Rhinolophus ferrumequinum: one gene and its partner. The protein of the gene in region 2 purifies or fractionates together with the protein of the main gene of each other region. This does not show direct contact. Links are inferred from orthologs where the notes say so. Each region holds a gene or a part of one and is shown on either strand. Other genes may lie near its edges.

Region 1 (3,745 bases), on a different chromosome or scaffold from region 2:
AGACTCGCTCCTTGGACTAACGGAAACTATCCGCAACCAGTCGTCACTGTCAAATCTCTTTGCACCTTGGAATCACTTTCTGCGAGGGGCCGACAGCACTCCCGCGTTATTCAGTTCCCTGCTGAGCAACCCACCCATCCAACCCCGGACTTCTAATTCAGGACGACGCCCGACTTCACAGGGTGGAGACCGGGGGCTGCCCTCTCCTGCCTCCCCGAAGCGCTCACGATCTTTCCACTTGAGTCTCCGGCAATGGGGAAACGAGGCCCCGCTCTGACGTCTGCATTCTTCTCGAGCAGACGAGCTTTACTAAGCAAACGATCGCGCAAAGGTGTCTCTGCTCCTTCGCGTCCCCCAGGTCCGGGCCGCGCGGCACCTCGGGACCCCGCCGCACACGCCTGCAGCCCCCGCCCGGCCTGGGCGCGGCGGACGGACCCCCGGTCCTCGAGGTCCCCGTGGGCAGGCCCTGTCTGTTCACTCATCTGGCAGCGCGCTCACCGACACGGACACGGTCGGGTAACCCCGGGGGCCCGCCTCAACCGACGGAACGGAGAACTCCTGCGGGCCGCGCCGGGCGGCTCCTCCGGGCCTGTGCGAGGGCAGGCGACCGGTCGGGAGGGACCCTGGCTCGGGGCAGCGCGGCGCGCCGGCGCCTGTTTCCCGCCCCCGCCCCGCGCCCTCCGGGCTCACACAAACGACGGAAGGGACGCTGGACCTTCGCCTCGGACTCAGTCTCGCTGTCGCCATCCCGGTGCGAAGTTCCCCCACAGCGGTGCCTCGGCGGCGGCCATCTTGCCCAGAGGACGACGCCTTTTGACTCTCGCGCCAACCCGTAGAGCGAGCGCGCCGCGAAGGGCATTCCGCGCAAGGACGGAAGCCGCGCCGCCGCGCTTCCGGGCGGCCGCCGCGCTCCGCCCCCTCGAGGGAGCCCTTGATTGGCTGCCCGCTCGCGATCTCGCGGGAAGAGGCTGAGGGGGCGGCCGCCGGTGCGTCTGCCCTCCCGTTCCCCGCCCCCGCCCCCGCCTCTGCCGCGGCCCCCGCCTCCGCCTCCCCCTCCCCGGCGCCGCCGCCCCCTCCCCGCCCGGCCCGGCCCCCCGAGCGGCCGCGGAGACCGCGCAGCGCGGGAGGCGGGATCCGCACGGTAAGATGGCCGCGGCTGGCCCAGGCGGTCGGGCCGAGCGTCCCCACGGGAGCGCGGCGGGGCGGGAAGGAGGCCGGCGTGGGCGCCGCGGCCCCCGGTGGGGTTCGCGGCCGGGTGGGGGCCGAGTCCGGGTTACCGTGCGGCCGAGGTGCGCCCGGCCGGACCCGCGCCGCGGGCCGTAGGGCGTCGAAGGTCCGAGCAGGTGTCAGGATCCGAGCGAGCTCCCGGGCGGAGGCGGCGCCTTCTGGATTTGCAAGTCAAACGGCCCCCTTTGCTCCCCGCCAAAGTGGACGGCGCGGCGTGGCGGTGCCGGGCGCCGTGACTCGGGGTGGACTCTCACTGGGTGGACACGGCAGGGAGGCTCCGGCCGTCGGCGTGTCGTTGACTAGACGAGGGAGACGTAGCACATGTGTCTGGCGGGAGCGATCTTTGTAACAACTGCTTCCGAGCAGAAACACCTGGCGAGGACGCGGGTGGCCGCTCGGAAGCGAGGGCTCCTCGTCGTCAGAATTGGGGTGTCGATGATGTCGGTTGAATGCTCAGCTGCGGAGTTCCTCCCGCACACAACAGAACCGGCCGGCTCTCCCGAGTTGTTGCTGTCCGACATCGCTCTCGCCGCCAGGGAGTGGTACTGGCGTGGTTGCTAATTACCGAGCGGAAACGCAGAGAAAAGCGCCTTATTTGACCTCGAATTGTCGAGGAATCAGAATTCAACCGAGTGACTTCAGCAGCCGGGACACATGGGCATTTGTACGAGATGCATGTCGTCTTTCGGCCCCTTCCAAGGACCTGAGGACTTTAGCTTGTGCCCCTTTGCTTCCTCACCCATGCTCTCGCTCCCTGATCTTTGCCAGACTCTGGGCTTTCCATATTTGTTGGCGGATGTCTCCCTGATGACTGTTTCCAGCGCCGAGGCCGGGACCTGTAATCAGGTGTCTGCTTGACTTCTCCAGCGGGCGGGCTGTCTCCTCGTCAGCCCGGACTCGCCCTGCTCCTCCAACCTGTTCCTCCCCCAGTCCCTCCTCATTTGTGGCCCCATCCTTCCAGGTCTCAAGCTCGCAACCTCCAGTCCTCGGTGTCCTCTTGGATCCGCCCACGTTGGGCTCAGCAGGAGGCTTGTCACAGAATCTCGATCAGCTGTGTCTCCAGCTCTCCTGCTGTCTGTCGTCTTGTTGGGGTGGCTCCTTATTGGTCTTCCTGCTCAACTCTCACCACCCACTTTTGCTGTCTTTTAAGTTTTTTTAGTTTATTGAAGCAATTTGGCACATGCTTTGCTACGTATAAAGTAGTGTCCATAACGTGTATGCCAGTGACGAAGTGGACAGCGGTGGACTCACCACCCATCTCAAGAGCCCCACTGGCATTCCCAGGGCCGGCACCTCTCTGCCCCTGTTCCCATCATAACCGCCTTCTACGTTTCATGTTTTCTAAGTACTTACTGCCCAAGCACACTTTATGTAGTTTCTCTTGTTTTTGTTCTCTACAAAAGTGTCTGCCACATCTGGGCTATCGTTGCAACTTGCTTTATTCACCCGGCTGGTTTCTAAGACTCATTCCCGTGGTGGTCATTTATCTTAACTACTTTAGTAAGTTCCCTTACGTGAATACGTGACCACCGTCCCTTCTCAGCAATCCTAAAATCCAAATCGCTCTGAAGACCAAAACTGTTTGTTTTTGTTTTTCACTTATTTGGTAGCAAAGCCCGACCTGGCCAAGGCTGTATCATAGCCTCTATGCCACTCAGCACAAAAACTCACATTTCACAGGGGAAATAACATGTGGTTATGGGTTCTGCCCCAGACCTGGGGAGGGTGTCATATACGCATGATATACTGTAAATTGTGCTGTATGTAGTCTTTGTGCAATCTGAAACATTCTGGATTCTAAAACATCTGCCCAAGGGTGTGGGGCCTAGGAACCACAGCTCTTTGTCCATGCTGCTGTTGACACCGGGGCGGTGGCTGCCACATTTCTGCCATTTTGAACACTTTCTGTGAACAGTCTTGTGTTTGGTGCCCGGATGTGAGTTTTCGAGGGGGTCAGTCTAGCAGGAGAATTGCTGGGCGGTGCAGAGCGCACGTGTTCAGCTGTACAGAGAATGCCAAATGTTTTTGCAGTGCCCGTGTATTCTGACAGCGGTGTGACAGTTTTGGAGAACTCCGTGTCTTTGTTACACTGGTCGCGTCAGGCTCCTCCGTTTTTGTCCGTGTGGTGGATGGGCAATTGCGAGCGCCTTCTGAGCGTGAACATCATAGCACGTAATTCTTCGGCTTACATCTCTGCGGCTGCCCTTTGCACGTAGGGGAGGAGGCATCTAAGTCCGTTCCCCAGCCAGTAGGGCCTTCCTCAGTCCGACCGCAGCCAACCTCTTGACCTCTTCATTCTAAGACCCTTGGCTCTTTCTTGCGTCATCCTCCTCCTTCCTGGTCCCCAGCCCTAGCCCTGCGTTCAGGTCTCAGGCCCTTTGCACTCACTGTACTTCAGATTTAAAGCGTCTTCCTACTCACTCCATCTTACTTCTCATTACGTCTCTGTGTTTATTTCTGAAACGACTATAATTGTGACAGAATTATTCACCAATTGTTAAATTTTTTTTTCCTGTAG
Region 2 (3,745 bases):
ATCCGGCTCTGCAACGGGTTTCCATTCCGCGAAACTGCCAGCACGTGGCACCTGGGTGAAGCAACCGGTCAAGAAAGGTTCCAGGACCAGGCGCCAAAGTGCAGAGGCCCGCGAGGTGTGATGGGGGTGAGGCGGCGCGGACTGTGACCTGCTACTGGTATTGCAGGCGTCTAGGTAGCACTGACGGCCGCGCCGGGCTCTTCCTGACACGGGCCCAGTTCGACTAGCAAGTAGCTCAACCCGCCTTTAATTCTCGTTAGTGACCCCCGCCCGGCCTGCCTTGGTTTTTCCACCGCGGCGACGAGTCCGTGTTCCAAAACTTAGGAATGACAGTACCCCCGAGTGACAGGGAGATAAGATAATTTATGGCTAGGGCGAAGTCCTATGGAAGGTAGACCTTTTCCTTCCTGTCTCGTTTTTCCGCACGGTTTTCCAGAAATAACTTGCTTCCCAGTTTGCTCTCCAAGTCACCCCCTCCAACAGCGAGACTATTGGTTTGGCCCCTAGACTCGGATTGGCTGAAGGTTTACGCCTAGGCCAGGGATTGGAGGACGTTGGTCCCTTACGTATGCACCGCGCCCATTGGTTCGTTTTCCCGGTTTCTGGGAGGAGTGGTTAGGGACGGTTTCCACCCTCTTGTTTACGGAGCGCGTAGTTGTAGCGCTCTCTGAGACCTGGGGCTGCCTCCAAAGTTCCCTGTTTAGCTCCTCGGACCAATTGGGTCTCTGCTCCACCCTCCACCTCTCCCTTACACGCCTCTCGCGTGGTACGGCCCTCACCTTTAGAGCGGCGGCGCGAACGCACGCCCGCAGCGTTCCTCCGCCCGCGCTTGCTGGGCTGCTTCCCCTTGCGGGTGCGCTTGGTACGGCCCGCGCCGCCTCCTTCCTTCGCTGGGGTGGCTCCTCCCCTCTCGGGTCCGCGGCTCTTGGTGCCGCCCTGGAGAACCAGGTCATCGGCCGGTTCCCGTGAAAACAAAAACAATCGGCCGCGCGGCCGCTGGCTCCCGAACGCGGCAAGCGGGGAACAGGGACGCGGGGCCCGGTGGGGCGAGCAACCCAGAGCGTACGCAACGCGCGGGGCGCCGGGCGCCATGGGGCAGGCGGGCACAGGCTGCACGGGGCTCCGCCGGCGCCGGGGCTAGCTTGCCCGCCGCTTCAGCAGCCCGCGCCGCCCGCCTGGGGGACGAGGAGCAGGACGCGGCCTCGGCCGGGCCCGGGACGAACGGTTGCGGACACCCGGGCGCCGAGGAGCCGAGCGCCGCCGCCGCCTCCGAGATGGATCAGTGCGTGACCGTGGAGCGCGAGCTAGAGAAGGTGCTGCACAAGTTCTCGGGCTACGGGCAGCTGTGCGAGCGCGGCCTGGAGGAGCTCATCGACTACACGGGCGGCCTCAAGCACGAGATCCTGCAGAGCCACGGTAAGGCGGCCGGGTTGGGCGCGCGGGGCCGGGCCCACCCGTCCGCGTCCCTGAAGCCATGGCTGGCCGGGAGGGGTGCCCTCGGAGGGCCGTTTCCCGCCTCCACGAGGCGCGGAGATCCTCAGACCCCCGTGACTTTTCCTTCTCTTCTGGATTTGACTCGAACCTGTCCGACCTGGTTGTTAATTAAGAGTGAGCGCGATCCCACCCGGAAACCTATCCCGGAGCCGCGTGCTCCAGCCATGTTAAACCTGCGTGGGGGGTCGGTCCGCCGCACCTGCAAATCGCCGCCCTCCGGGGTGGGTGCCCCTTGCCCCGACCGACCGGGAGGGTCTAGGTGAAGAGGATAACTGCGGGAGGCCCTTTCCTCCTCCCCTGCTTCAAATCCTTTTTCGGGGGACTGACTTTCCTTTTTTTTTTTTTTTTTTTTTTTTTAAATTAGAAAGTCGAGTGTTATTCTTAGCTGTGGGTTAACAGAACAGTCGCTTCTGCAACTTCAGAATTTGCTGTGTGGAAGCAGCTCTTCAACTCCGCAACAGCGCTGACATGATTGCAAGGGAATTAGCTGAACCAAACTGGTCAGCTCTCCTAGTGTAGCCTATGATGAGACTGAGGAACAATTGGAAATTCTTCCTGAAGCAAATTGTGGCGCAAGTTGTTAGTTACTTGCCTCAATTGGTCAAGTGTTTACTTGTTTTCCTTTTAGAAACCATGTTTCCTTTAGAAGGTATTTTACCTCGGTTATTTCATTCTTGCCCTAGAGCCTGGAGCAGACACTTTGCCAAAGTTAACTTGTGGAAGCTGGTTGGGAAGGTTTTTTGTTTTTTTTAAGTGACATTAAAGGTCTGGTATCCTTACATTAAAATATTCATTGTGATGATTCCTTTTGATCAAGAAGTAGGGGACTTTTTATTTAATAGGTTCATTCAGAAGGTTGATAGAGGGTCTTTTCAAACTTGTAGGCTGAACAGAAATTTATGTAAAGGAAGATTTGGTAGCTGGGGTGAAATGCTGATACTTGTGACAGGTGAGATGAAGGCAGTGGAGCTGAGCTTCGCTCTTCTCTCCATTCTTCCACACCTACCTTTCCCAGATGGCTTTCAGTTGAGAGTAAGTGCTAGTCCATGGTAAAGGAGCCTTATAACATCATCTCATTCTGGACTTCACAGTCATTTTTGAACTCCGGGGAAGAAGCAAACTTGCAACCATAGTGGAGGTAGAAGTTGAAATATTAATATGGAAAAATTAGCAGACCTAGGTGGTTGCCTGTGAAGGGGAATGGAGGTGGAGTGGTCTGGGAATCCTGGGAAGGCTCTGGTGAATTTGGTTTTGGACATGTGAGATAAAGGGAAGGGTCAACGAGGATATAGAGTCAAGTGATTAATGTTTACTGGTGGCCGGAGATGATGCATAGATGGTGTTGGTCTGGGAAAGAAATACCATTTTTTAGCTTAATTTGCCAGAAGTTCAAGGATTGTACTGAGCTCTGATTCTTATCCTTAATCATTTTGATTAAACTTTAGATTCACTTAATTTCCCCAACTTGAGGGAAGAGAAGACACTGCTGTCATTTAGTTGTAACAGGCTTTCAATGAGAGTTTCCCTGTAAGTATGAAAATTGGTCTAATTTAAAATTCAGTATGGTTGATGCTGTTTCATTCCCAGTGTGCCCTTGACCTAATTTGGATAATGCACTGCTGTTTCTCAAACTTCACTCATACATGTGCACTGTTATTTTTCAGATGGATTTATGATTTTACTTAAGTAGATTTGTCCTCATTCTAAACAACGATATTTGTGAAGTCATAGGTTTGGTGTGATAGTATAAGTTACATGTTAAAAATAAATTCATAACCACTAAAGTATTATTTCACATACAGGTAAAATCACCATTCACATCAGTGGTTATGGGAACCACATTTTGGACAACCCTTGATTAAGATAAATAGTATGGATAAATTTTGGTGATTTGACTTGTGATTATATGCCTTTTAGCATGTTTTTTTTTTTTTTCCTACTGGCAAATATATTTATATATTTCCTTTTGTGGTGGAAGGGATAACAGAAAAGAACTATATCGTACTGCTGCTATTCTAAATATCAGCAATATTGGTGAAAGAAGAGTAGAATGAAACAATTGGATAACAGTTTTATGACATGTTTGAAGTGTACTTGGGAAAATTACAATTTTTGTAAGAGTAAAGTGTGTACAGTATTTTTTATTATTTTCTAGAGGAGTTCTAATGTGGTTTGTGAAAGTAATTCTCAAGGAATTTTCTAAATTTAAATTTTATTTATTTTGAGTAGATAATACAGTCAAGTGGTGTGA

The links. The genes of interacting proteins can lie anywhere in the genome.
Region 1: the proteins of RMND5A (region 2) and GID8 purify together in Homo sapiens (affinity purification with mass spectrometry; 5 studies listed by BioGRID and IntAct, counting the BioPlex papers as one, with this or other methods). This does not show direct contact. The link is inferred for Rhinolophus ferrumequinum from reciprocal best matches to the Homo sapiens genes RMND5A and GID8.

The regions. Positions count from the first base shown.
Region 1 is NC_046306.1:825,804-829,548, reverse strand, and holds the start of GID8 (glucose-induced degradation protein 8 homolog), read left to right. Parts: upstream 1-994; 5' UTR 995-1,141; intron 1,142-3,745. UniProt on the Homo sapiens protein: Core component of the CTLH E3 ubiquitin-protein ligase complex that selectively accepts ubiquitin from UBE2H and mediates ubiquitination and subsequent proteasomal degradation of the transcription factor HBP1.
Region 2 is NC_046296.1:7,840,801-7,844,545, reverse strand, and holds the start of RMND5A (E3 ubiquitin-protein transferase RMND5A), read left to right. Parts: upstream 1-958; 5' UTR 959-1,274; coding exon 1,275-1,416; intron 1,417-3,745.